Schizosaccharomyces pombe: one gene and its partners. Changing the gene in region 3 together with the main gene of any one other region gives a genetic interaction. Each region holds a gene or a part of one and is shown on either strand. Other genes may lie near its edges. The genes, in order: ani1, raf2, cid12 and clr3.

Region 1 (4,111 bases), on a different chromosome or scaffold from region 3:
TAAGTCAAACGAATTAGTAGCAGAAGTAAAAGTTGAAGATTTTGTAAATGAAGTGACTTCCCCAGCTCCAAGGTACTTTGGTGGACTGAAAGGGGCTCCATCAGCCCTTTTCAAAATCCGAAGCTGAATTTGATGCAAAAGCACTTGGCATTTACCCATTCTGGAAAGCAACTCATGAAGCAACCGTTTTAAGAAATCTATCCCATCCTCTTGAAAAACGAAACGAACACCCCAATTAACATCTACGGATATGGACCTCCGTGGGGTTTCATTATTGATTATATCGGTATCAATTCCTCTGGAAATATTGTATAAATGCAGACCGTAATTTACCCCAAAAGTCTCTTGAAGATTGAATTTTTCAATTCTTTGCAGCTGCCCAATAGTACGCACACCGTACAAATTAAAAAGTTTCTGCGCTTGTGAAGAGCCCACCCCTGGTAAATCTTGAACAGACAAAGGACTCAATACATCAAAAACATTTTCTATTGACAAAGAATAAACGTTGTGAGGCTTCGCCTTCCTAAGTGCAAGTCTTGCTAAGAGAACATTTGGGCCAATACCAACGCTAACTTCGCAATTGGTTTTCTCGCGAACCTGCGAGCGGATAGACTCGGCAATCTCAAAGCAATCTTGAAAAGATGAAACACTAGAAGTTATATCTAGAAGAGCCTCGTCTATACTTATAACCTTAATATAGTCGTGAAGTGTATTAACAAGGATAGTGTAAAATTCTCTAGAAACAGATTCGTATGCTCCAAAATCATAATCAACAACCCGTAATGAAGGACACAGGTTTTTAGCTGTTCCAACGTACATACCATTTTTTATGCCAAACTTCCGAGCCTCATAATTACAACTAGCTATTTCGGAATTTTTTATACCATGAGCAACAGCAACGGGCTTCAGTCGTAGCTCATGAGAAAAGCGTGTTGAAACGGAAGCAAAAAAGCAATCAAAATCAACATGAAGAAGGAAACGAGATTTTTTTGATTTATCTTTCATAATTGGACGAACAGGTTCAGAAGCAGTAGTCATTGCTTGGATTTCATTTTTAAAATCAGCTTTCCAAGTACTTAAGTGATGTAAACGAGAGGAGCTAAAGAAATTCTCAAGAAAATCTTGATTTTGAGTGGTTGAATTTCGGACATTGGGATTTTTTAACAATTGATAGTTGTGCAGTGAAGACGCTGATAATCCACTCAAATCATCTAAAAATCCCTTTGCTTTACTCTCTTTTGTTTTATCTTTTTCATTATCATGTTCTTCTTCCTGCGAGCTTGTTTGAATATCTTCTAAGTTACCTTCGGGTTGGCTAGGTTTAGAGGCGACAAAAGAAAGGGTAGCTTGAGCCGATGAAGCTTGAAAGGTACGATAATTTATCCACGGAAGAATTTTCTTCTGTTTGATGCAATCCACTATCCATTCTGGTTTAACCACTTTCTGATGCTTCCATTGGCGAGCTTTGGAAGGAGTGAGAAATGAACACACCAAATATGATATGCTTGTTTTTCCATCAACATATTGTATAAAAGTACCTCCATTTGAAACTATCATTTGCCGTAATTCGGTATAAGACGGCTTTGTATATCCATTAATCGCTATTGCAAGTCCATGAAAGAGATCAGATTTAGAATCTTCATCAATACTTTTGTATAGAGCGGCATTTTGATTTTGAAGCTTTCTTTGTTTCCGGGAAAAATAATCTGCATAGTCGTGGAACCCAACACTTTCGTATGCCTCATCGTTTGCTTCGTCAAAGTCTGCAATCCCTACTGGGCGTCGACGCTTCCTTTGATTAAAAGCCATCCAGCGCGCTTCTCACTTTCAGTAAATATAAGTATTAATATGTTTCTGAAAGGAAAATAATACAAATAATAATGTAGCCACTTAAGCGGAAAAAGTGTAATTAATAAACAAACAATGTTTATAAAGAAAAACTAACTGCAAGAGCTTTTTTCTTTCATTATTTAACCTTATCCCAAAACTCGTGAAGCCAAACTATTTCAAAGTAAAAAACAACGAAATATCAAAAATAATTACTACGCGTTTGTTGTGATGCACGCTCGTCCAAATTTAATTAATTTTGAGTATAATTTGCAAATCGCGGTAATACGCACTACCCTTACTTAATGGAATACACAACGGTTTATGTATCAAAATTTTTTACATCCTCTACCACCTCACCTCTTAGGCAAGAATAAGTCATGTCTCTTCCAATTGCTGTTTATAGTCTTTCGGTAAAGGGAAAAGATGTTCCCGCTGTGGAGGAATCTACAGATGCATCTATTCATTTGACTATGGCATCCATTGATGCCGGCGAAAAGTCTAATAAACCAACTACTTTATTGGTGAAGGTTCGTCCCCGTATCCCCGTTGAAGATGAAGATGACGAAGAACTTGACGAACAAATGCAAGAGCTTCTGGAAGAAAGCCAGCGTGAATTTGTTTTATGTACTTTGAAGCCTGGTTCCTTATACCAACAGCCTTTAAATTTGACCATTACTCCTGGCGACGAAGTCTTCTTCAGTGCATCTGGCGATGCAACCATCCACTTGTCTGGTAACTTTTTGGTTGACGAAGAAGATGAGGAAGAGGAAGAATCTGACGAGGATTACGATTTGTCTCCTACTGAGGAGGATCTTGTCGAGACTGTCAGCGGTGATGAGGAAAGTGAAGAGGAATCTGAGTCGGAAGATAATTCAGCATCTGAGGAGGATGAATTGGATTCAGCTCCTGCTAAAAAGGCACAGGTTAAAAAAAAACGTACTAAGGATGAATCCGAGCAAGAAGAGGCTGCTTCTCCTAAGAAAAACAATACCAAGAAGCAAAAGGTTGAGGGTACCCCTGTTAAGGAAAAGAAGGTTGCATTTGCCGAAAAACTTGAACAAGGACCTACTGGTCCCGCTGCTAAGAAAGAAAAGCAACAAGCTTCTTCTAATGCACCTTCTAGTCCCAAGACTCGTACTTTAAAAGGAGGCGTGGTTGTAACTGATGTTAAAACTGGGAGCGGTGCGTCTGCTACCAATGGGAAAAAAGTTGAAATGAGATATATTGGGAAGCTCGAAAATGGAAAGGTTTTTGACAAAAACACTAAAGGTAAACCCTTTGCTTTTATCCTTGGTCGTGGTGAGGTTATTCGCGGGTGGGACGTCGGCGTTGCTGGAATGCAAGAAGGCGGTGAGCGTAAGATTACAATTCCTGCTCCCATGGCTTACGGCAACCAGAGCATTCCAGGAATTCCCAAGAATTCTACCTTAGTTTTTGAAGTCAAGCTTGTTCGCGTTCACTAAATTTTCATGTTGAAGATGAACATACTTTAACTCCCGTGTTTAAGAAGATCGCGGATTAAACTATGTATTCTATTAACTCTTTTTATCGCCTATCTTTTTCTTAGGTTTCAAAAAAAATCAGGGTATCATTTTGTATTTGAGTTAGGAAATTTTTTTTTAGTTAAGTGTTACAAACACTTTGGATATAGGACTTTTGGATGATTTGGATTGTTGGGTGATAAAGGAGATATAATCAATATACAATTTTTTAGAAAGAGCTGTTTGTATGTGTATGAGCATTAAGAGAAAAGAGAATAGCGCTTCCTTGATCGATACTAGTTAAGGATGTTTAAATTATGGAATTTTGAGTTTGAGTAAATATAAACGAGAACATTCCGAAAAACTCTATTAAAAGTAAAAAAAAACATATTGATAATAAAAGAGCCATTATCTGATTATCGCTAAATAAGTCTACAAACAGCTGTTTGTTTACGAAATTCTTAAAATTAATTATCGTAATAATCAACTTAAAAAAAAACAAGCAGTTTTAGAATTTAAAGAATTATTTTTATTATTTGTCTTTTTTCTATATTGTTTATTTGAAAATTGTGCTTCTGTTTACAGGCAAATCTTAAGGCGGGCATATATTTTTCTGAAACGTAAACAATCAACATGCCCAAATCAAGCAACTTGAAAATGCAGAGAAAAGGCTCTTTAAGAGAAAACGGTCTCGTGAAGGGTTTAAATAAAAATAGTAAGATATAAATTGGTGTGATAAATAAGTTAATGACATAGAATTTTCGATCAGCAAGTTAAAAGAACTATCTCATGCAGATGAC
Region 2 (4,652 bases), 1.2 Mb from region 3:
TTTGGCTCCATTCTTGTATTAGAGTTGAAATTACACTTTCTTCTATCTATGAGTGGGATCGAATTTAGGATATTATCCTATCACATTAATTTTTTTATGTCAAAGAAGTGAGCCTCATCATACTCATGTTTGCTCCTACTGATTCATGATTAGATGATTCTATTTACGTTTACAAAACCAAAAAGATGGGTAATCGTCGCGTATGGTCCGTATTTTCTGGAACAATTTTTTAATAGTATTGCTCTTTTCTAAAATAAATACTCGTTTTTTGCTCGTTTTCCTTACGCATGAACATTTAGTAGTTCTTGGCGTTTACATTCCTCTGTTTTTATTTTATCGCTTGGTCTCAGTTATTATCAAAAATGGGTTCTGGTATTTTGAACGGCCATTAACTTTACAATTGTAAAGGGTTGGTGTTTGATTTTGTTTGATCGTCCTATATTACATTTGACAAATAATTCAGCTATTTGTACACTTTAATAGGCACATTTATAAGCGTATCAAATTGTTGTTACAAAATGTGTTTTTGAAATTGTTTATGAACACATGATATTTGTAAAGTAAAGTGTATTTGACATTAGCCATGTAAAATTGTAATCCTTTATAAACATACTATATATTAACTTTAATGCAGTGTGTCTTTTGTTAATTACTAGTAAAAATCATCATATCTATCATTAATTTATGTTGTACATTATGTGTTCAAGTTTATTTGTAAACGATCGGACACTGTTCGAAGGAGTTTTAAATATAAACTTGGAATCTACATGTCCTAAAAGATGATCGTAAATGACCTGAGAAGGTTTATACGGGTTGTCACAAACAGCAAAATACAAACAATTTTGTACTGGACATGACCAAATACCAGTCTGTAAATCCGGACTAACTTTTAAAGCCTCAACTTTCTCCAAGTTATATGAATATAATCCAGTGTCTTGTTTAAAATCTGTTTCCTTTTTGGATAAGCAGGAAGATGCGGAAGCTAAATCGAGCAGTTTTGTAGGTCTATACGGTAAAGTCGACCTCGTTGACCTATTACAAGGGAATAAATTTGTTCGATCCAGCCATACCTGATCGCATAAATTTGGAGTTGATGAATATACTTTGGGATATTTGTTGCGAAGTAATTTCAATAATTCATCATAGAAGCTGAATGCAGGCCAATAACCAAAAGAAATAGAAAAAAGTTTAACAAAGTCAGGAAGAACTGTAACAAAATTTTTTTCAAAAATTTCCTCCGTAAAACTGAAAGCGACAGCTGAGTGATTAATGTATTGTTCATATGTATAATCTGAGCCAGAAAGGCCTGATCCAATATCAAATAACAAGAAATGAAATAATATCTTGGCCGCCAATTGAGCATTTGAGAAATCTAGTTTCATGCATATTAGAGTCCTCAAGAGATGTAGACTTGTTTTTTCTCCATTGTTACAATGCATGAATAAATAATCATAACAATATCCACGGAATTGAGATCGTGCTTGTTGAACAGAAGATCTAAAACCAATTGCGTGCTTAATATCATTAAAAAGCTTAGTACCTCTCCACGTGAAAGCAGTATGCATAATTTGCAAAAGGGTTTCGCCGTGGGAAGAAAGTTTATTCAAAGCTTCCAAATTTGTTATTTGTAGCTGTTGAGCAATAACGCTGCAAACTTCTTGAAGGCTAATATAACGTTGATGCTTCGGAGAGGTTGAAACTTGTATTCTTTTCCATAATGATATCGATTCAATATTTGGATCAACAATCCTTAAACCGGAAAGCCAAATATCATTCAAAGGAAACCGTAATGGAGAAGTTCTTTTTACAACTCCTAGTTGTGGTGTTGCTGTGGGAGAGGAAATGCTAAACGGTTGCTCGGGTAAATTAATTAAAGTAAGAGCTTGGTTTAAAGAGCTTTTCATAGTAGTATTATTGTCCGATGGATTGTTTGACGATAACTTTGATTTCTTTCGCTCTTGACGAGCATTGTAAATGTTTTTATTAATTTGTAAAATCAGATGTTCGTATGAAGATCGAATTCTTATAAAAAAAGGTGATTCAGACCATACATGTAATGAAGAAGTCGCAACCATTTGGGTTAACAGAAAGCGAATATGTTTTTGCACTAAGAGAATTGCTTGAAAACAAGAAGGAAGCTCTAGCTTTTCCTTTAAAACTTCGATATAATTATCGTAATCTTCTAACGTACCAGATATCATATCATCTTTGAATTTTGTCTTAATAAGGTAAAACAATCGATTCTTCTCGCTGATCTGTTCGTAAATGGCTTTATACTCAGAAGAAGGAGACAAAATTCCGTATCTTCTTTGAGGTGTAACGATCCATATGCTCATAGTTTCTTTCTCAGGAACGTCTTTTAGATTGTATGTCCAAACAGGCGATATTTTTATCGAGTATCCCAGAACAATGCTCTCATCAAACAATGGTTCTTGCTCATCCTTTTCAGAAGATAAAATTCCTGTTAATGAATAAGGGCCATATTCTAGAACGTCCTCTAAATCTACTAATTCCCCTGCTTTATTTGTAACGCAAACTTGTTCAATCAAATCAGTTTTCCGCTTTTTTTCAGCACGTACGGGCGGCATCGCTAGCTTTTTCCTTTTCCCCAAAAACAATACTCTTCGAAGTAATATTGCCTATTACTATAGACGGCATATTTTTGAGGTAAACATTGGTGTTAAATTTCTGATCTCTGCTTCTGAAATTTAAGAGAAGGGTATCCATTGTACTGCACAAATATATAATTAACGTCTAGTGCGTTATACTTACGATACGTTAACAATCACTATACCTATAATTGTGTTTTACCAACATTTCTTTCGGCCGTGAACATACGTTGCTTCTAAAGTACTTATTCTTTAATTAGAAAAATATTGATGAAGTTTGATTTGTACTCCTCAGCTGATTGTAAACTATTTTAGTGCACATATAATACTATACGATATCTCTTAATATTTTGATATATTTATTATTGTATAGAAAACAGAATTTTATTTAACATTATTTTTTATATTAGGAAAACCCACCGCAGTTCTAAAGTATCATTAAGTGTTTTAATGATTGCATAGCTGACACAATGCGTAATTTAATGACAGATACGGTGTATTATTATGTGGATCTTTAGAGTAGAATAATTGTAAGCTACGCAGTTTGGTATCTGATTTAAGGATACGTAGAACTGCGGTGAGTTTTCCTTGTGATCTATTATATTACAATACGCAGGTTGTATAAGTAGCAACTGAGTATAGGTATTGTATTAACTGGGTTATAATGTTACCTATCACTAATATAGCTCATAACTGAACCTCGTTCCTCAGTTCAGTTGTAACGCTATTTATAATATTTCTAAATAGTTGTTATCAACGGGTATCTACGTATATAGACGGATAGTTACCCGTGATTATCAATAAACGGATCTTAGCTAGTATTCCAACATATGACATATAGTGATACGCAACGTAGTGTATCATAGCGTAGTGTAGTATTGCTGACAATAATGAATTTAAGTAGTTTCACTATACGCCTCATTATACTGTAAGCTAGAGCAAAGTAAGAAACTTGCCAAGAACCAAAGCGGGTCTCTGCGAAAGGTAAACTAATAAAAATCGGACAAATTGGAGGAATTGAAGGGGAATTAAGGAAAAATATTAATTTAATAGAGATAAACTTATGAATTTATGCAGAACGCACCAAAGTGTTACCTGCCGAATTCACGTAAAGGCAGAGACGTGAATTTTCATGATCGAGGTCCTGAAACGTTAAAATGCTTGTACGATGAATCAGAAGATAACAATAATTTTACTATGCATTCTGAATCCATAGGTCCTAAGTCATTAGACAGTTTATCGCCTAGAAGGCTAAGTAACTATTCATCTGCTGTAGACCCTCGAACTACGAGCTTGGAAGATGTCCCTCGCTTAATTTTAACAAGAAGTAATTCACAAGAACAAACCCCTTTGAGAACACACACCCCTGTTGAATATATGAGTGATTCAATTCACAAGAGTCTAGCTGACTTGCAATTAGGTGGTTCCTCTTATTCAGTTGCTGAATCACCAGTACCGGTGCTGCAGTCTTCAGCCGTTTCTGAAGCTGATGATATGGCAAGTGCTCATTCTGCTCATCCGTCTCGAAAGGCAAGCAGGTCATTACGTCTCTTTGAGTCTTCTACCTCCAATAACTTAGAAACCGGTAACAGTACTAATACTGCTTTGCACAACGTGTCGAGTCCTCTTGAATCTGTTTCTGAAAGGCTCTCCAAATCTGGATCACCAAGTGTTGGTGCTCAGCATGATTTAGATGAAGTTATTTCCGAAAAAGATACATCACTAAGTCGAAGATCATCTCGTGGTCGGAGCTCAGCTCCTAAACGAAGAAAAGATAGTGGTAGTTCTAAAACCACAGCCACCTACATACCACATAATCCTTCTAAAAAGTCATCTCAACACCTCCCTTTACTACCTGATGCTTCGTTTGAGCTTGAAAGGTCGGTATCCCGTTCTTATCAAAGTCCTGCATCCACCCCGCGATCATCTGTATCATCTGTCTCATCATCTCCTCCTGAAGACCATCCTTTTTTCCATTGGAATGTTGATTATCCGGTTACTGTACGATTGGAACCCTTCAAACATCAAGTCGGTGGACATACG
Region 3 (6,905 bases):
TAATGTAAACGGTCGATTACTCAAACCAATTTAATACTATTCTTTGTCTATTTGCCTAAATATTTTATACATGTCACGTTTTTGATCACCACCATTCTAAACCCATACTATACTTGACTCTACAGAATGCTGTCAAAACGGGGATTAAATCCCGTTCAAGCGGAGAGCAGAAAGAAGAAAAAAAGAGAACAAATTAAAGTGCGAGAAGAAAGAGCAAAACGCCATGAAGAACGACTGTCGCATAGGAATATGAGCCAAATGGAACGCCAATTATCAGAGCTGACACAATTAGAATCTTCGCAAGCTTTAAATGCACATGACAAGCAATTATTACAAAATTTGCAAAGAGATATGGCAATTATGAAGAAGAAAAACATTCATGGACATAGAGTTGGGCGTGTTGAGTCAGACAAGACTAAGGAGGCAGAACGTCAACATAAACCTAGAAAGCCTTTTATCCCTAAAAACCCAAAACGAAGTATATATTATGATCCAATATTTAATCCTTACGGAGTTCCGCCGCCAGGAATGCCTTATCGTGAGAAGGAAGAACTAAGTTCAGAAACAGATGAATCCGTTATTGATATACCTTTACCTTCTGAAGAATATCCTTTTGAGGATCCAAAGCCAAGGGAAAAGAAAAATAAGAGCTTTAAGCCAAAGCACCACAAAAAGCAAGACATAAATGCAAGTTCAGCACAACCAAAATCCACTACTACGACAGAAGCTGCTGCAAATACGAAGGACATTGAAGAGGAAACTATGATTGAGTACTCAGCTCAGCCGGTAGTCAGAGATTTACGACAAGAAGCTGCTCAATTTTTACCTGCTGCGTTTCAACGACAAAAACTAGCCAAGGGGCAGAAAATTGGACAGCCAGACAGGGATGTATCGAGCCAAGTTCAGGAAGACAAGGATGAAGAAATAGATAATTTCTACAAAGAAATTGGCGGATATCTATAAAAAAGTCGTTAAAATTATGGAGATTGGAAGTAAGGATTACCAAATGGGTGTAGACGGAATTTTTAGTTAATAAACATGCATATTAATTTATATATAATATCTGTTTACTAGGTTCAATTTTAAAGGAGCTTGATTGCATCTCTGTACTTGTTTTTTTGTTTTATTCAATTATGAGTGAGCTTTCATAAGTTAATTCAAAGGCTTATTATTATGATGCGGTCAATAATTTCAAATTTTTGATGTCCAAAAAAAACAAAGGAGATTTTGTTTCTGTGTTATTGCATGATATTTATTAATGTTTTCTTGGTTCAATAATTCCTTATTATAGTCACTTTTACACTGCTTGAGCGAAAGGGGATTTCAAAAAAACACCTTATATTCATCTTTCCGTGATTATTTCAAGTTGACTGTTTTTTGTGAATTTGTCTTTTGCTAAATTATGATTGTTACACTTAGTCCTACACTGTTCATTACGAATCAGATTACCAAAAAGAAAGAAGTACATGACTAATTACTTGGATTAATTTTATTTTATTTTCATATGTATTTAGACGCCATGACAGTATTTACATGCGTAAACCAACGAATTCGTTTATCAAATAAAAATATCATAAAGGAAACCTTTAAAAATCGAAATACACATGCTTAAGTTAAAATTTGCACAATGAGAGATGAGGGAGTACTTATCTATCTTTTGCTTGCTTTTCTTGGGTTCATAATCTTTGGTTTTCGCTATAAATGCTGTATGAGACTAGGAAGCTTTTGCAGTCAATCATTCTATTATTTATAAAAACAAATAAGTTATTTATTGATTAAAAACTCGTGATACTTTTTTTTGCTATAAAATGATTTATTTACATATAATTACAAGGCACTCGCACGACCTCGTTATGTGCGAGGAGCCATGAAATTGAATCCATTGATATTAAAATTAGCCAAAATGCCATTTCTTAAGAATGGGTAAAGTCCTGTTAGAGCTGCATTCAGTACCATGGAATGAAGAAGGTTTGAGTGATAATGCTCGACTTTATTCATTTTTGGAGTTCGTAAGCCCGAAAATCGAGGAATTGAAGTACAGAAAGCTTTTGTTAGAGAAACTACAGACTCACATTAGGGAGGTCGTTTTGGATGCTGAACTTCAAGTATACGGTAGCATGTATATTGGAACAACATTATCTATAAGTGATGTAGACGTATCTTTGAAGTCACCTCGAGTTGGAGAATTGGAGAAACGACGCGTCACCATGGTTTTAAGAAAGTACTTGGATGCTGATGCTGATTTCCATTCTAGTGCCAGAGTCCCTCGCATCAATTTAGTAGATGTTAGTGGAATTGGGGTGGATTTGACGTTTGGAAATGACAAAGCTTGCAGAACTGCTGAATTGCAAAAAGCTTATAACGAAGAACACCCAATTTTTGGTAGATTGCTGATGCTATTGAAGCACTGGTTGTTTGAAAGAGATTTGGAAAACGTTCATCATGGCGGGATTGCAAGTTGCGCGCTCTCTTATATGCTAATTGGTTGGCTTGAAATGCGATTTCACAAAAAGGGAATTGATTCGGAAGTGCAACCAATTCGAGCTTTACTACAGAAATTCTTCTATTTTTGGGGAGTCGAATGGACATACGAACTTTTTGTATTGAGACCTTTAACCGGTCAAATAGTTCCTAAGCTACAAAAGGGCTGGTTAAACGAAGTGCAACCAAATTTGCTATCTATTGAAGATCCAATTGACAGAAATAACGACATTGGAAAGCAATCATTTCAAATTAGTATGATTAAAGCTGCATTTGTTGCTTCAGCTAATGAATTATTATCCGATAAGACATGGTTTAGCACCTTTGCAATTACGGAAGATGAAATGTTTTTGTGTAAACAGTTTGAAAATGTTATAAATACTAAACGAAGTTTGGTGGAGGGATATGATAGTGATACGGAATCAGATGAATTACAAGCTGGCGGATAACTGCGGGTTAATGCATTTAAAAAATAATGCTCGCTGTTTAAATAAACATTTGTTTTTCAATTCCTAAGTTGTCTTGCCGCATGTGGTAATGTTTCACTACAGTTCGTATGTACTTTACTCTTGTTTAATTGAATGGATTCATATTCTTATTATTGATAGGATATAAGAATCCTACAATTATCTTAGTCATTTTCAAGTCTTTTAATTTTACTTAGGCAAGGTTCGGCTGTTTCAAATGATATCACATTTTGTACCTATTGAAGGTGCTAACAAAATCTGTTCTTTAAAAATTTCAAAATTAAATCTATTTTATTCTTTTAAAATCTATCCAAGGATCCATGTTAGATTTTCAAGTCAATTTAATAATTGCATTTCACTTAGATTAATAAATGTGTGTGCAATCTATAGCTTTTTCGAAAGAAGGACGCTATCTTCTGTTTTGGAGCTCTCATCAATAATGAATCCCCGATGAATAAACCATTCGGATACATCGAGTTTAGGGCTTAATTTAATGTAAATTTCTTTGGCTTTTCCCTCAGCTGCAGTCTCGCAAGCATATTCCAACAGCTTGGTACCAATAGAACGGTTTCGATAGGCTGGCAAAACTGCCAAAGATAAAATTTGGATTTTGTGCGATTTATTATGTGTTTCTTTTTTGCATCTAACAGCTCCTACGCAGACCTGGTTAAAGTACGCATATTGTGCTAAAGGCCCGACTGAGATTGTGTCTTTGTAAAAGGAGGTTGGAAATATAATGATTTCAGGATCAAAACACTTTTCGTTAATAACTTCAAGGATTTTCAGATTATTAGGGTTAATCGCATCAAGTTCAATCATCTTTTTTATGCAAATGCAAATATCTTTTTCTATATGTACTTGGTGTTGTCAACTTTCAGTCTTTAAGGCATTCTAATGCAATAGTTTGAGTTGGAAACATCCACGATAAAATCTTTAAACAGTACGCTGCATTTCATTAATCCCGTTGTCACATGAATGTGAAGGTATTGTAGATGCTGGTCGCATAGGAGAAGCGTTAACAAGGCTGAAGACATCGTCATTTCCATCTTCCTTTGTGTCTACGTTTCCTTCTTTCTTTGTGGTAGAGGGCTCTTCAAAATTTGATTCTTGTGGGATAATCTCTTCGGTGGATAGCTTTTCACTTGCAGAAACCGCAGGATTCTCAAAGTCAATATGAAGTTGTCTTTGATATTCATCTATTAATCTTCTAAGCCAAGGGACTGTGTAGCTAATGGCTGGCCATGCTGTACCTAGCATAGTAATGAAGTTCCAAAGGCTCCACAGGGCCATAAATGAAAATACCAGCCCTTGTATAATGATAAGAATGATTGCAATGATCACTTTCGGAATGATTGCTAAATCAAATGCTATCGGTATGAGAAGAGCAAAGGAAACCACTCGGGTGAGAGCAACCAAAAAGACGCAAAAGGAATTTTTGAAACCAACAAAAGGCCGAAACACTGCTAGCAATATAAAAGAGATGATTTCAATAACAAATAGAAGTATAGTTTGAATCTTCGCAAACTGTTGTACTAACGCTAAAACCAATGCAAAACTAAAATAATGTGCAAAGCAGGCGTAAACATAGAGCCATCGCCGTTCTTTTAAATCCAAATATAACCATCCCCACCATGTGTATATTTTTGGATCGCTTATCAATGTTTCTGGATTGTCCTCGTTACTCAAGCCTGACGTTGTTATCACTCTTATGACTTTGATAGTTAACCAAAGGAAAAGCCCAAAAAGCAGTGCCAGAAGCAAAGCCGCCAATATTACAGGGCCATATGCTTCCCTAAGTGTAAACTGGTAAATTATCATAGTTACCAATACAGGCCAACAAACCAACACCTATATCAACCAGATTAGTATAAGTATAAAGCAAAAAAGTCGTTAAGAGCTATGTATGAACAACTCATTCCTTTGTTCAATTAACTTACCCATCTCATACAAGCATTAAAAAGTACTCTAAACCAATACCTTGTGATATAATCGCATGAAGATTTTGCGATTATACGTGTCTGACGAAGAAACTTAATAATAAGTACGAATATTATAACGATTCCTCCTGCTATGGCCAAAGAAATCAAAAACCATATTAAAGTGAGTGTAAATAAATTCGTTGTTAGCGTTCCAACTTCGGTGGCTAGGCCTTGAAACCCATGGTAAAATCCAGGAATCGGGCTTTGAGGGTTTGTTGCAACAGCATCTCTTCGATGGACTCCACCTATCTTTGGAGAACTTAGGTTTCCATTGGAATGCTTTCTAAAAGACTCAAGGCTGTTTTCTATCTCTTTATTGGTAATAAATCCTAGAATCCATGCAAAATTACTAGCCCATGCGACTAGCACTTTTGGCTGTGTAATTCCAATTGCTCCCGTGAAAGCTATACATTGAAGTAGCTCTCCCATGTGCTGCAAAGAAGGAACGGAATTGATGAAAACCTGACGTGTCAGATAGGTGCTATGCTCCATTCCAATTACATAAAAGCCTAAGACGCCTGCTATACTCAATGCCAAAGCAGTTCCACTTAGAGCTTTTACGACTTTATTTTTAAACGTATGACCATTATTAAGTGTCGCGATCATGCACGCAAGTGGTGTAGAATTATCGATGGATGACGCTGCGATGTCTTCTGAGCGATACATGCGAAAACGCACTAAGCCTTCAAAATCAGGAATTCCCCAGGCAATTTTTGGGATCATCTGAACATCTTGAGGGCTCACTGGAAGTATTCCCTGTGTGGTTATAGCTGTATCTCTTGCAACTGGGCACACAGTATTAAGATTTATTTCACAAGGGTCGAAAGTAAATCTTGCCCTCTGCTCTCCATAAGCTTCAACTATAATATCAAACGTAACATTTGCGTCCACAGATGAATATCCAAGAATATTAAAGACTACTGACAAGTTTCGTGTATAATAACTTGCATCAAACCGATTAAACACTATCGGGGCATTTGACATGCATTCTGCGTACTCGGCTGTTCCAAGTTTGTGATTTGGTCTCTTACTATATCTTACTCGACCTTCCACTGACGATAAGATATTACTTAAAACTGCAAAGTAAGCTAAGAGTATTAGCTTCATTTTCATTTTCCATTAACATCCCCCTTCCAGTTATGTAGAGGGTTTAACTTTGGAACGAATGCAAAAAAAATTAAAATGAACTTTCCTCAGAATTACCAAACTATCACGAATAACAAAAACATGCTACTGAACTCAAATGCCGTAATTTGACTGTAATGTTTACGAAATAGCAGTCGTATTTTTTAACAACCATAGCATTGAGTTAAATACAAGGATTAAATAAATAGTAATGAAACGATTGAAGCTTTAAGATTTTTACGAAAAAGAATACAGAACGTGGCTTCGTTTATTTAGTTACCACCATCTTAGCATTGTTCTTACGCTCACAATTTTACACTATGAAAAAAGCAATATAATGGTAAAGAATGTATCATTAGTAAAGAATAAAAAAAAGAAATGCATTTTCATTTCATTTGTAGTTGTGAGAAGAAATGATGGAATGTGCGAGCCTCACTTGATTTTATGTCATTATGTTTTGGACCTCAATTAGTAATAAAATTATTCTGTTGAAGTCATTTCTGAAGGCGTTTCTTGATTTTTCGCTTGTAATTCGTTGAGTTGCTCCATTAAAAGATTTCGAAAAGGAGTCAGCAGCTTCTCTTTAGTTCTATTTAATTTCATTCCACAATTTGGAAGTTGTGGCTGCGGTACTCCATGAGCTGTAGTGGGTGTAATAATTGCGGACCCAAAGAAGTTATAAAGATGTAAAAGCCATTCACTAGTACTATCTTTATTCTCAATAGCCTTCTTGCTTTCTTCATCAAGTTCCTTCACATAATCACCAATTTCTTCCAAAACTTGATGTTTTGTCTCTTCATCCAAGGTATTTAAAGCTTTATGGGCAACATCTACCGCATCAGGAGTCTTCACC
Region 4 (4,750 bases), on a different chromosome or scaffold from region 3:
GTTGCTAACACCTTGACTTGTGAGTTATTGCGCAAATGTTTAGTGCTATATATAATATAGGATCAAGTCGTTTTATTAAAAAAAAAAAAAGCCAGCCTTCCTTAATAGTAAAGTTGCTACATTTACAATTACTGTTGACCGGTTATCATTCATGCAATTTGGATTAGTTAAAAAAGTTGAACATCACAGAATCATCCATCATTCATGAAGGTCGTACTGGGAATCGAACCCAGGTCTCGAGAATCAGAATCTCACGTGCTAACCATTACACCATACAACCAAATCAATTTTTTTGTGTGATATAGTTATTAATATTGGAGAATAAGAAAACAATTTAAATGCTGTTTGTACTATGAATCTAATTTTACAATTTAAACAACATACTATAATATTATCCTTTTGCGGTACAAAAAATGGATGAGGGATTTCCCTCAGCTTTAGAGAAATGCTTTTAAGCAAAATTACGACAAAAATCAACAATAGTTGTTTGAACTAAAATAATATCACGGATTTGAGGAGCTTTATTTTATAAAACAATATTATAACCTTATTTATTTAATTATATTGAACATGAATAAAATGAAGCCAGCAATAACAATAAACCATTTGTGTATACATTCTACTGGAAAATAAAGTCAAAATCCACCAACCTTGAGAATAATGAGCTCGAATTAAAGTATAAGTAAAAGAGACAAAGCAGCTTAGCAGATTGAGTACGAATCATTCAGCGGGTTTGGCAAATCATGAATGTCCGTTATAAATTTTAACGTAGATAACTTAAGGAGGTTAAATGTGTGACAATTAAAAGAATAGAAAACCATGAAAAAATCATAAGTCAATAACGAATGTTACTGAGAAGTTGGTCGGGCCTTTTGAAGCAAATGCAGCAAGTATTGAGTAACCGCTCGATAGTGTTGCTCCATCATGTCCGAAGTTTCAGTATGTTCACTTTGCATAAGTCGTCCATATCTTCTTTTAGCACGCTTTGCCTTTTTCCAGCACTCATTACTAGAACTCACAAACACGAGTGAATGACGATAATACCACGTTGGAAGATCTTCCTCTGATGCCGTTTTAAGACCCACCAAAGGTTCAGTGCCAAGGAAATTCACCATACACTTAACTCTGTCTGACACATTCCTGGAAGATGCCAAATTAACCAATCCATGTACCGCTTTGCCTCCACCGATGAAAAAAATATTTTTTGAAATCGACAACTCAACATAATTATCCCATACATAAAGACAAAGTTCTTTCACTTCAGAAAGAATGTCAACCGGTGCATTTTCACCGTCCGTAACCACTTCAGGTATATTTATGTCGATAAGCCCCCAGTCCTGTTGCATAGCCCATTCAACATAAAGGCTCACGGGATCTACTAAAAGCGAATCATTTAAATTCAAAACGTTCGTTTCACTAGTTCCATTACCCAGGACTCTAGGAGATTCATGGACAATAACGAGAAGGTTATCTTTTTGAAAGAAATTGCTAGAGCACAGTACTTGATTGTTGAATACATTGGAAACGGAATCCCTTAGTATTGGCATATTGGTAATTTTCCAGTCTTCGAAAAGTTTTTTAGCTTGATAAGTTCGAATAACATCATGTAATCGATCTACATGGGCATCCTTAGGATTTGCGTCGAAGTGTTTCGGCCTCATACATCTCCAGTATTGGGATTGTATTTTGGTTACATGGTTGATGGTAGCAACGGCCTGTGGACATGCATATGTTGTATGCAATCGTCCAGGAGGAATTCCCAACAAACTTTGGGCTACAGCTAAGGCTGATGTGCTTATAGAATCCAAATTATAACCTCCCTCAAGGGAGATAAAAACTTTCCCATCTGCTAATCCCATTAACATTTGTGTCATATGAGCATAGGCAGCTGGAGTTAACAAGAATTGACCAATGTGATCTCCTGCAGCAGCATCAAAGCCGCAACTTACAATAACTAAATCTGGATCAAATTCATAAGCAACAGGCATTACGACGCGCTGAAAAGCGTATATATAATCACCATCTCCCATGCCAGCACAACTCCAAGGAATATTTACAGTTCTACCCAATCCCGGGCCCTCTCCACAATTTTCTGCACACCCATAATTGGTGCCAGGATAGAAACGACCATTTTCATATCGATGCAAAGAAACGTATAGAACATTTGGATCGTCATAAAAAGCCATTTGCGTACCATTTCCATGGTGTATATCCCAGTCGACAATCAATACTCTTTTTATTTTATCCGGAAAGCGTTGTAGCATACTCCTTGCGGTTACAGAAACATTGTTGAATAAACAAAAGCCACCAGGTTTATGGGGTTCTGCATGATGGCCAGGAGGGCGAACAACTGCGAAGGCATTTTTTACTTGACCAGTTACGACAGCCGTACATGTTTCAATTGCGCTACCACAAGCCAATCGAGCACAAAACGCACTTTCGTTATTATAGTATAGAGAATCACTGATTTTTTCGAGATTGGCCAAATCCTCATGAGACATTTTTTCGGTATTAGTAACCCTATCATACATTTCCTGTGAATGAACTTGTAATAACTCTTCTAAAGTAGCTTCTCTAGCCGGAATCCGTAAAAATACATCTGACGGACTCGGCACATTAGATACATAACCGGCCTTCTTTATAGCTTCAAAAACACGAAGGACGCGTCTTGGATCTTCAGGATGGTCATCCACTTCACTTAGAGTGGCATGGAATCTCATTCGAGGATCATAGCATAATCCAGATTTTTTCAAGATTTGCGACATTTCATGGGATTCGTTATTTAATGTATTTTCACTTCCAGACATTGGTTTATTGTTTGTCAAAAGAATAGACCATGGAGTTACCGTGTTTACAGCATCATCGGATGGTTTTACAGAAGTAGATGCACCATCAGAATTAGAGGCCAGCATTCGTTTTCTATCGCCCTTAAAAAGGTCAATCAATTAATAAATTAATAAAAAAATCTCCTATTAAACAACTCCCTCATAAAACTGTCGAAACACTTTTTGAAGCGCGGCTCACTCGATATAGGTAGTTTTGGTCGTCAAAACTGTTGCTGGTACTTCTAAGACATAAGTATAGAGGAGCAATGAGAGAATATAATCTCAACCATGCTAACAAAGGAGTTTGTTTGGTAAAGAATAAAAATGTAAGTAATTAAGACGTTTAGTAAGGCTTTAAATAGAAGATTGATCCTGAACGTATGGAGATTGAGAAAAAATAGAGTTTGTAATGAGGCTCATGGGAGGGTCTTATTTTTATTTATTTATTTATTTTATTTTCTTAGAAACTTAAAAATAGCTTTGTCTCGAGCCATACTTCGAAATGAATGCATAATTTTGCGAGTTCGCGAATTTCCATTATCTTATATAATAATCATTTCAAATCATAAGGATCAAGATGTAGGAAGAACGTTAATAAATACATGGTAAATAATGTTTCTATGATCTTTAAGACTGTTGTACGCCCGGAAACATTCACCCTTTGTCATAAACATCATTAAGCATTATCACAATTTGGCTTGTACATATCAAGCATTTAAACATATAGAGGGTTAATAGCTCATCAACCATAGGACTGGAGACGGATAGCAAGAAATAACAAAACTTCTCAAACGAGATTTTTCCAAAAATTCTTCAGCAGGATGTGAACAATCAATCTATTCATCCAAATTATAGATTAACTCTCATGAAATAATTATGTAATTTTATATCTTAATGCTCGTATACCATCTAAAATGAAGGATGTTATGGTTTTTTCGAAGGCATAGAATTCACCAACGTAAGCATAACTTCAGCTGCCTTGCAATCATCTGCCGATAGGGGATAAGCCGTTGGAAAAGGAAGACTCGTGGACTTGCGAATTCTACTGAGGTTTGCAGTGCCAAGGCGAAGAGACTCATCGGTTTCTTCAGGGCGTGAAATATGGTAATTCATTCCGAACAGTGGAGATTTAGCTGAAGCAGTGGAGGCATGGCTAAGTTCAAATGGCAGTCTGGGTAGCTCAGTATGAGGCTCAACGTAGTTCAACCAAGGAGGACTAGTTCTATCAAAAGACGAGGACGTAGAAGAAACAGCACTAGAAGATGAGTAAGGAGATACAGGCTTCTTATAAGGAAGCTGAGCGAAGCCCTCTCTTGGGCTCACCAATCGCGTAAATGAACTTGCACGCAGCTTGCCTGTATTCGATCCCATAATTGAGTTGGGGTGATGCGGCCTTCTTAGCTTAGAAGAGTCCAAGTCATTGATCGAGCGTGATCTACGATGAACGTGATTTTCCTTACGAACAAGCGTTTCCACTTGATCTAATGTCTGATCTTCCCATCCATGATCGACCTTAAAAAACGCTGCCTTCAAACGAGCCCTAAGTTTGTTTGATAACTTGTATTCAAAAGTTAATGACAATTCGCAACGATTTTTATGCTAAACCAAAATTATTCATCGACGATTCTATTTGTATCGTCGAGATGTTACCTAATTGTGTTTGCGTAATTGACATACCTTGCTTAATGATTCATCGTATTTTTGTTGAATAACTTCATCAGTCTGCCTTGTAGCTTCATTTTTCTTGTGGCCGCCTGCCATGAATTAATATTTGTTGAGTTCGTCTGTATGCAGGTATATAAAAATGACGAGTTATTAGCCTATTCGAATTCTCCTTTCGATAAATTCCTTTTATAATATCCAATTGCAATCAAATAATCCTCCGTATAGCATATAATTGTTTCAATTGAAACAAGACGCGTTGA

Evidence for each region.
Region 1: mutations in cid12 (region 3) and ani1 together harm fitness more than expected from each alone (negative genetic interaction), as found in Schizosaccharomyces pombe (2 studies listed by BioGRID).
Region 2: mutations in cid12 (region 3) and raf2 together harm fitness less than expected from each alone (positive genetic interaction), as found in Schizosaccharomyces pombe (2 studies listed by BioGRID).
Region 4: mutations in cid12 (region 3) and clr3 together harm fitness more than expected from each alone (negative genetic interaction), as found in Schizosaccharomyces pombe (3 studies listed by BioGRID, with this or other methods).

The regions. Positions count from the first base shown.
Region 1 is NC_003423.3:4,062,350-4,066,460, forward strand, and holds ani1 (FKBP-type peptidyl-prolyl cis-trans isomerase), read left to right. Parts: upstream 1-2,170; 5' UTR 2,171-2,207; coding exon 2,208-3,293; 3' UTR 3,294-3,611; downstream 3,612-4,111. Other genes in the region: deoxycytidyl transferase Rev1, read right to left, coding at 1-1,809; sporulation specific PIL domain protein Meu14, read left to right, coding at 3,945-4,026, 4,068-4,111. UniProt on the Schizosaccharomyces pombe protein: PPIase that acts as a histone chaperone. Histone proline isomerase that increases the rate of cis-trans isomerization at prolines on the histone H3 N-terminal tail. Proline isomerization influences H3 methylation thereby regulating gene expression.
Region 2 is NC_003421.2:498,795-503,446, reverse strand, and holds raf2 (CLRC ubiquitin ligase complex subunit Raf2), read right to left. Parts: upstream 2,683-4,652; 5' UTR 2,589-2,682; coding exon 678-2,588; 3' UTR 567-677; downstream 1-566. Other genes in the region: kcs1 (inositol polyphosphate kinase), read left to right, coding at 3,681-4,652. UniProt on the Schizosaccharomyces pombe protein: Component of the Clr4 methyltransferase complex (ClrC) which contributes to the establishment of heterochromatin by specifically methylating histone H3 to form H3K9me.
Region 3 is NC_003421.2:1,653,750-1,660,654, forward strand, and holds cid12 (poly(A) polymerase Cid12), read left to right. Parts: upstream 1-1,896; 5' UTR 1,897-1,919; coding exon 1,920-2,930; 3' UTR 2,931-3,332; coding exon of another isoform or gene 3,333-3,767; 3' UTR 3,768-3,881; coding exon of another isoform or gene 3,882-4,796; 3' UTR 4,797-4,885; coding exon of another isoform or gene 4,886-6,034; 3' UTR 6,035-6,331; downstream 6,332-6,905. Other genes in the region: splicing-associated factor Saf1, read left to right, coding at 127-963; NatA N-acetyltransferase subunit Naa50, read right to left, coding at 3,333-3,767; trp663 (TRP-like ion channel protein), read right to left, coding at 3,882-4,796, 4,886-6,034; SPOM_SPCC663.15C (uncharacterized protein), read right to left, coding at 6,533-6,905. UniProt on the Schizosaccharomyces pombe protein: Has a role in the RNA interference (RNAi) pathway which is important for heterochromatin formation and accurate chromosome segregation.
Region 4 is NC_003423.3:252,984-257,733, reverse strand, and holds clr3 (class 2 histone deacetylase Clr3), read right to left. Parts: upstream 3,049-4,750; 5' UTR 2,913-3,048; coding exon 849-2,912; 3' UTR 596-848; downstream 1-595. Other genes in the region: cell cycle transcriptional repressor Whi5, read right to left, coding at 3,750-4,424, 4,503-4,586. UniProt on the Schizosaccharomyces pombe protein: Responsible for the deacetylation of lysine residues on the N-terminal part of the core histones (H2A, H2B, H3 and H4).